Drosophila melanogaster: one gene and its partner. The protein of the gene in region 1 interacts with the protein of each later gene in a pairwise test. Each region holds a gene or a part of one and is shown on either strand. Other genes may lie near its edges.

Region 1 (4,276 bases):
CAGGGTGCGGATGAGATCCTGGCGGGTGCGGGCGAATCCGATGTTGCGCTGCTCGTGGTGGGCGACCCCTTTGGCGCCACCACCCACACAGACTTCATACTGCGCGCCAAGGAGAAGAACATCCCCTACAAGGTCATCCACAATGCATCGATCATGAACGCCGTCGGCTGCTGCGGCCTGCAATTGTACAAATTCGGCGAGACCGTTTCGATTCCGTACTGGGACGAGACATGGAAGCCGGACAGCTTCTACGACAAGATCAAGCTGAATCGCCTGCACAACATGCACACGCTGTGCCTGCTGGACATCAAGGTGAAGGAGCCCACGCCGGAGTCCTTGATGCGCAAACGCAAGGAGTACATGCCACCGCGTTTCATGACCGTGGCGGAGGCGGCTCATCAGTTGCTGTCCATTGTGGAGAAGAAGGACTCGCTGGAGAAGAACACAGTGCTCAACGAGCAGTCACTGTGCGTTGGACTGGCCCGTGTTGGCCAGGAGTCGCAGCAGATTGCCGTTGGCACGCTGCTTGAGATGCGCTCGACCGATTTGGGCGGACCGCTGCACTCGCTCATCATTCCCGCCAAGGAGATGCATCCGCTGGAGGTGGAGTTCTTGCAGCAGTATGCCCCCAGCATCAAGCTGGACGACTACAACCACTAATTCCGCTGCGAAATTACCTAATTTAGTGTCTAGGAAATGTTGTCTGTGCATCTGAATTGAATTTACGAAGCAAGAGGAGCTGGAAGCTCAGGAAGAAAGTGATATCGCTTGATGCCACCCGTATACGTATGTAGCCTGCCCAGCGGCAGCTGAAATAAAACCGCATTCACCCATCGTACGATTATGTGTATTTATCTCCGAAGCTTTAATAGATTGTTTGCATATATCAATAGTAGAGACCTCGCATGCGGCGCGCGGATCCCTGGCGGTCGTACAGCATATTAAACTTGTTCACAAAGTGGTGCATATCATTGCAGCCCTTGGTCAGCGTGCCCAGGTAGCTAATCAGTCCCACATCGTTGCACTGCGTGTAGAATTCCTCCTGGAAGGCGGGCACCTGCATGACGGGCAGTCGGTGGCAGAGAGCGTAGGCTTCTCGCAGAATCTCTTGGTTGGCCCGCAGCTTTCCGGCCTCCACATCGCGTATGTACTGCAGCACGATCTTGATGCGTGTATTTAGCATCTTAATGGCACTGTCCTGGGCCACCAAATGCTCCGCCACCACGCTCTTCTCGCCGGACTCGTTCGAGGTCATGCGCGCCACATGATCCACACCAATGCGCTCCGCCTCCTCGGTGGCCAGTGTGTAGGTGAGGGGCACGAACAGCATGGTGGCCTCGCCGTCCACCAGATCGATTAGGGACTCGAATAGCTTCAGGGGAAGGTGGTCGACGCTGCGGGAGAGCGGATTCAGCTGTAGCATGATGGGGCACTCGTTGATGGCGGCTATCTGTCTTTGGATCTTAATGTCATCGGCAGTGGGATTGTCGCCGGTTGTGTACCAGCCTATGAAGTCGAGATCACTGAACACCTGGGGAAAAAAGAGTAACAGCTGGTAAAGCAGCGTATGTAGAGGCTTGGACACCCACCTGCTTGTACTGTTGTTCCTTCTTGTTGTAGTAGTCCTTGTTGATCACTGTTTCATCGCCAATAACGTCCGTCTTCAGTTCGAACGAGTTCATAATCTCAATGTTGCGGCCCTTCTGCTTGCCAATCAGTGCTCCGTACACCTGTCGCGGCTCACCGTGCTGTGCACGAAAGCGTGTCCAGTGCTCGGAGATGTTCATTATGACCAGCGGATGCAGCGATATGGTCACAGAACCACTGGTGCCCGCTGCAGCCATTATGTTTCCCTGCGGCTGTGGGTTTTGATCCGCAGTCTTATCCACTGCCATACTGCTCCCGGCGGCGGCGGAGGACGATGTGCTGGGCTTGGCCGACATGTCAACGTCCACTTCCATTTGCTCCATGCTGTCGGGGGGCCTTTATTTACACGTAGTTTGCGGTATAAACTTAATTTTACTTCTTTTTGTTTGACAAGCTCCGGTATAAGCTGTCGTTATCGTTATTGGTGGTCTCTCAGTAGTACGATATTACTTATCGCTATCTATCGGGACAGCAGAATGGTGTGACCACACCTTATGCAGTCTAAGCAGTGGCGCGAACCTTTTTAAACTGAACGTCGGCGTTGCCGGCTCGATTATAGTATTAGCGAGTACTATATTTGAATTTATGTTTTGTAATTCCTGTTAGCTTAATTATGCGCCAAATTAACCATATATATTTCTATTAAAGCATTTTTAGTCAATTCGGTTACATATATTTTTAATATGCACTAGATTCGTTTGTGGAAGTTTCTAAAATTGATATGTTTCTAAAATTTATTTATCTCTTTCGCACCGAAAGACCCTGCCAATATACAGCTCAGTTTTTTCCGCTGTGAATTTAGAACATATTGAAACCCAGTTGGTTGGTTTTCGGTTTTATTTTATTTATCTTTTCTTCGTTTTTATTTGTCTTGGCTTTTAATTTCGTGCTCGCCGTATTTGTTCGTGCGAATTTTGTAAGTTAGACTAGTTGGCTTAGGACTACAAATATTTAACATTTAACAGGCTATTTACAAATCGTCTATACACAATTACAATTACAATAATCACTTAGCCTAAGGGAATTAAAGACTAAACGCGTTTCGTTCGTGAGGTTCTAGAATTAGGCGACTTACACATTAGGCAGATCTCGAAAATTGACCCAGTTTGTTGTACGGTTCTACACATGCGAATGCAGCCACAGATGGCGAGAATGCGATGCGATGCGAAGCGAAGCAATCAAGCGAAGCTGGCGAGGGGATAATCGCCAAGTTATAATTGATGTTGCGCATACGCCCCGTGTTCCCCATGCTCGATCGATCGATCATCGGAAGGCGGACTTCCTCTTCTTCGTTCTCTTCTGTGGTTGTGTGTGTGTGTGCGTGCACGCTCGTGTATTTATGGCTCTTAAGCTTAGCTTAGCGTTAGTTGAAACCTTTGTACCAAAACTACTTCCGTTCCGTCCGTTGCCATCACCAATCTGGTCCGTTTATGTAAAATTTGTTCCCCCCAATGTTGGGCAATCCCTGGAAGCACTTTTCTCACTGCTTTCGATTTTCAATTCAGTTGGCTTTCAGCTTTTGCGCCAGCATCGCCGTGTTATTGTTGCTGTCCGCCTTGCAGGGCGTGGCATCCAGTTGCTGCTGTTGCTTCTGCTGTTGCTGCTGCTGCTGCAGTTGCTGCGCCGCCTTGGTCTTCCTGTAGCTCTGCATGTAGAAGTTCATGAAGAGGCAGAAGAAAATGGATGCATTCAATAGGAGCAGCGCAGAGATGAACTTGGAGAACTGGCACTGGTTGCTGAAGAGGGCGCGGAGGGTGTGGAAGATGCACAGCACGAACTGGGCCTAAAAAAAAAGGGAAAAATAATATGAATTTTACAGAGATCATATACTCATTATACCCTAGTTATAGTAGGTTGCACAGCTAGACCTTGTTTTCTAATTGTTGATGTAATTTTTATCGTGCGTCCAAGCAGATTAACGTTGTCTTGTCTAATCACACATATTAAGAATAAGGTTGTGGGAACCATATGGCAAACAGACTTGTTACGCTTGAATTCTGGGAAAGTTCCGAAGAGAGAGCACACGCCTCCTTCGAGCGGCTTGCTCGCAATCAAAGCTCAACTTGACCCACCTCTTTATGGTCATTGGCGCTGTCGAAGGGCATTGAGTGGAGCTTGTCTCGTTACGGAAGTTGTAACGTCATTCAATTAGCCAGTTCCCTAACTGCCGAGTCATAACTTATACTTTTTGCAGTCCGGGTTACAGCTCTTTGAATGCTGCTAATAAAACGGCTGGCAGTGGAGCACCCTTGAGCTGGGCGGGCAATCAAAAAGCACTCAGTGCGGCTACAATGTGCGCACATTGATTGGAATTAGCCGGAGTGTCAGTGTGATATGAGGCTATTAACTAGCTGCTGACTAGCTATGCTTAGCCCAGTCCAACAAGCTGGCTCCGATTGGCCCCTGTGCGACCCCTTGGCGCGTGTTATGGGCTTTTATAGTTACCGATAATGTTTGATCATAAGATAATCTAATGGCACCCACACCCACTGCATGCTAAAGAGTTGACGACAAGATTCTAGCCTTTTAATCGTACAAGCACTCAGAAGCCAAAGAATGTCAATGAGCTAGTTGCTTAGTCTAAAATTCCAGTAAACGTAACTAGATTCAAGAACGGCGAAGTGAGCCA
Region 2 (4,488 bases), on another chromosome or scaffold:
AAAAAGAAGGAAAAACAAAAACAAGACTTGCCTGCACATGCAGATTGGCCAAGAGCGATAGCGATAGCCTTTTTATTTGCCTTTCGTCTGTTTTTGGTTTTTGGCTCAGAGTTTTCCGACTTGCCGAATGGAGTTGTTGCTGTGCCTTGGCGATGGTGCCCAATATGTTTGCCAGATGAACAATTTCCTTTTCGACGCGAAACGACCAGACCAAGCCACCTGACTAGGACCGATTCGCGAGGTCCAAGAGGCTGTGGCTTTTCCCTGGCCCACGCTCGATGCTCGATGGGTCCGTCCACCATTTTCGGTTCGTTTGCGGGCCTCGATGAAAAATTTGCAAATTGGAATTACTTATTTATTGATGCATGTTTGATGTGACGCTCTTGTGGAGGCTCCCAGCCTCAGGCCCCCCTTCTTGCGCACTCACTCTCATGTAACGAATCGCTTTTTTAGCTGCGGGCCACAAATGAAATCTGCAAACACAAACCATGCAAAGTACGGGGGAAAAAACCGAGGGTCGGCTCACATGTGTGAGAAATTGCTGTTTGTTTTATGCAAATGATCATCGCATTGCAGCTGGATTCGCTCTGCCGGTCGCCGTTCCAAATTTTCGGCTGCAATTAAAAACCGAAAGTGTGAAGGAAGTGTAGCTTTTTGCAGACCAGCATAATGAACCGGTTGAAAGATATTTGGCCAGAAAACTGCTGGTGTAGGGAAAAGGCCAATAATTCACTTTCTCAAGTCATTTGGAAGGGTTCCCGACTGTTTTATACAATTCGTTTTCGATTGTCAATTTATATTTTAGATGAACACATAAAATTTAGACACTCAACAGATATTTGAACTATAGAAACGATTTGAGCTGGAGCGGATAACGGAAGCGGGTTCTACATCATCCCACTGTCAATGTCACGCACCTCTACTTGCTCCATGCCGGGAATAGCCTTGACCATTTCATTCATCTCCTCGGCAGTGGGACCGTCATTGCTGGCAGAAGCGCTCATTCCGCCACCAGCGCCCATTCCGCCGAATCCACCTCCCATTCCTCCCATACCTCCCATACCACCCATGCCTCCCATACCACCCATGCCACCCAATCCACTTAAGGCTGCCAGCTCCTCTAAGCCACCCATGTTCATGTCCAGTCCATCATCCATTCCGCCGCCAGCTCCTGACAACTTGGACAAAAGATCATCGTTCCGGGAGTCGGTGATAACCACCTCGGTGGTGCTCAGAAGAGAGGCCACTCCAGCTGCATCCGTGATGGCGGTCCGCAGCACCTTTGTGGGATCAATAATGCCCTTCTCGACCAGCCGACAGTACTCATCGCCCATGGCATCGTAGCCGTAGTCTTCCGAGCCATTCAACACCTTGGCCACCACCATTGGGCCATCAACTCCGGCGTTTTGAGCTATGGTCTGGCAAGGCATCCTCAGGGCATTGCAGACGATATCGACGCCCTTCTGGAGATCTGCACTCTCCGTTTTGAGTTCCTGGAGGTAGGGAATGCAGCGCAAAAAGGCCGTACCGCCACCTGGGACAATTCCCTCTTCGATGGCCGCTCGAGTGGCATTCAAGGCGTCCACCACACGGTCCTTTTTCTCATTCACCTCAACTTCACTGCCTCCACCAATGTGCAGCACTGCCACGCCCTTCGTGAGGGCGGAGAGGCGTTGGCGCAGACGATCCCGCTGCTCTGGCTTGATTTGCTTTTCCGCCAGTTCATCTTGAATTTGCTGGATGCGCATTTCCAAAAGTCCTGTCTTGGGTTTGCCCTGCAGGAGCATGGTGCTGTCCTTGCTAATCACAGCCTCGCCAACCTGACCCAGATCCTCCAGCTTAGCCTCCTCCATTTTGGAATAGTTGATGTCATCGCCGAAAATAGTTGCTCCCGTGGCAGCGGATATATCGCCTATAAGCTCCTTGCGGTGGTGTCCATAGCTGGGCGATTTGACGGCGCACACCTGGAGGCCCAACCTGAGCTTGTTCAGGACCAAAGCATTGAGGGCTTCCCCGCTGATGTCCTCGGCTATGATGATCAGGGGACGACGCTGCCTCAGGGATTGCTCCAGACCTTTAACTATTTGCGAGAGTCCAGTGATCTTCTTCAGGGATATCATTACAAGGGCGTTGGCAAACTCCACCTTGGACCCCTTGGAGCTGTTTACGAAAAAGGGCGACACATAGCCGTTGTCGAAGCGCAGGCCCTGGATAATATTTAGCTCGTCCTTCAGGCGCTTGCCATCCTTTACAGTAATAGTTCCTCTTGGACCCACTTTGTCGGTGGCCTCACCAATGAGCCGCCCAATTTCAGTATCCCCGTTCGCGGAGAGGGTGGCTACTTGTTGGATCTCCTCACGCGTTTCCACTGCCTTGGACATTTCCTTCAGCTTGTCCTTTACGACGTCAACAGCTAACATGACACCTCGACGAATCTCCACGGGATTAGCCCCCATGGTAATCTGATTGAATCCTTCCTTGGCAATCGCTCGAGCCAAAACTGTTGCTGTGGTCGTGCCGTCACCCGCCGACTCATTCGTATTATCGGCCACATCCTGGACCAACTTGGCGCCCAGATTCATGTGCTGGTCCTTTAGGGCAATCGAGCGCGCGACCGTGAAGCCGTCCTTGGTGATCTTCGGCGAGGTCCATGGTCGCTCCACGATCACACTGCGACCCTTGGGCCCCATGGTCACAGCAACGGCATCAGCCAGAATATCAACGCCCCGGATCATCATTGCCCGTACTCCGGAGCCAAAGCGCACGTCCTTCGAGTACATCCGCGCGAAACAGCGACTAGAGGTAATCGCCTTGGGCACACACGACCGAAACATTTTGCACTTAAGTTTGAAACTATAATAAAAAAAAAACTTTCAAAACTTTTGGTTCTAATATTTTTTCGTTTGATCTCAGACACGAAGTGAGTGCAACTAATATGTAGGTTGTTGACTCGATACTGACGGACTAGACGGACTCGTTCAAGGCCTACTCCCATATTCAAATCCAAATTTTGTTTCCATTATCTTTAAGCTTCTCGTTTTATGTAACATGTGCAAGCCATTCTTCTTTATTTATATTGCTTTTCCTTGAGCACTTTTCTCTTTTTTCTTTTTTCTCTTTGCGGACAAGTTTCCAGGCAATCGCCAGATTTCACAACATTCATTTGTCTGGCGCCTGCCCGTCTGCGATCTGCGGCTCTGAAATCTTCGACAACAGAAGCCGTGCCTTCTGTTTGCCGGAATAAATTAGCGTGCAGCTAATAAGCCCCGACATTCTGGGTGGAGTCTGCCCATTTGCAGTTCTATTCGCCTCCATCGGCTGAGGCTGACCCACAAACAAGACCAGCGTGTGCAGATTTCCCAGAACTGCGGTGCGACTGTTCTGCACCGGAGGATGGATGCATTTTCCTCGGCTGACCGTTCCCATTTCGAAGGCAGCTGTCAAAAATTGTGTGCTGCCTACTGCAAACTAAAGAAATTCACACATTTTGCTGCAAGCCAAACGGCAAATGGAAATGGAAATGGGGAGTTTGAGGCGGAGATGGAAATGGAGATGGGATGAAAATGTTGGGTGCACAGCGCGCAAGAAGGCATTACTTTCGCACGATGAATTGCACTTAGGTATGAATGTTTAGAAATAGGTTTGCATATAAATTCAATGCGATTTATATGAGCTATCTCTCGTATTCTATACGTATAAAATAATGTCACATTTAGTTCAGTAGGTATAACTTTTTTCTGTGTGCCGCAGACGGGAATTGGAACTGGGGTCGGAATCGGGATCCGTTTCCTGGCCGCTTGACGCGTTGATTGCCATGTGCAAGCGGTAGCACAGTAGCCGGGTTTTGTGTCAAAAGCACGTCACCGATTTGAAGGGGAAGGGCGGAGGAGCTGATTGATGAGGCATTTGCATGTTCGACGACTCTTCTTCCTCTCGCAACCTTTCTCCCCATCTGCGCCAACTCTGCGACATGTGAAAGTGTCCATGGTGGGAAGACCACCTGGTGGGCTGTGCGATAATCGTAACTACAAGCGATCTGCAGGGTCTCTTGTCGGCTACAAATTACTTTCGCTGGATAGCGAATAAGCCTCAATCTATGATTAATTGCAGGCCATCTTCGGGGATTCTCCAATTCATTTCAGTATTTTTGGTGGGCCAAAATTAACCCACTGACCGTTGGCTGATGATTTCCTATTGGTTTTGGCAGATTTTTTGCCGGCTCTGTCATTACCCGCGGATGGATCCGTGGATCGAGCAGATGAAGTCGTTCGGGTAATTGTGGAGCAGACAGCAAAGAAAGTTTTAATGAGAAATGGATAGACTGCAGACGATAGACTGGCAGTTCAATCTGAGCATTTGCGTAAGTACCAGGCAGACGAAATTCCTGGATCTGGGATCTGGGGCAGCCAAGTGCAGATTGAGCTGATGGGAGCGATCTATCGATGAACTGCACTAAAATAAATAATTTGGTGGTCGTCATAGCAAATT

Evidence for each region. Proteins that work in one complex are often made in the same cells at the same time.
Region 2: the proteins of CSN6 (region 1) and Hsp60B interact in a two-hybrid assay, tested with the Drosophila melanogaster proteins (one large-scale study listed by BioGRID).

The regions. Positions count from the first base shown.
Region 1 is NT_033777.3:22,578,589-22,582,864, reverse strand, and holds CSN6 (COP9 signalosome subunit 6), read right to left. Parts: upstream 2,093-4,276; 5' UTR 1,971-2,092; coding exon 1,590-1,970; intron 1,532-1,589; coding exon 887-1,531; 3' UTR 832-886; downstream 1-831. Other genes in the region: Dph5 (diphthamide methyltransferase), read left to right, coding at 1-660; CG33110 (uncharacterized protein), read right to left, coding at 3,149-3,430. UniProt on the Drosophila melanogaster protein: Component of the COP9 signalosome complex (CSN), a complex involved in various cellular and developmental processes.
Region 2 is NT_033779.5:726,854-731,341, reverse strand, and holds Hsp60B (heat shock protein 60B), read right to left. Parts: upstream 2,981-4,488; 5' UTR 2,835-2,980; coding exon 888-2,834; 3' UTR 778-887; downstream 1-777. UniProt on the Drosophila melanogaster protein: Prevents misfolding and promotes the refolding and proper assembly of unfolded polypeptides generated under stress conditions.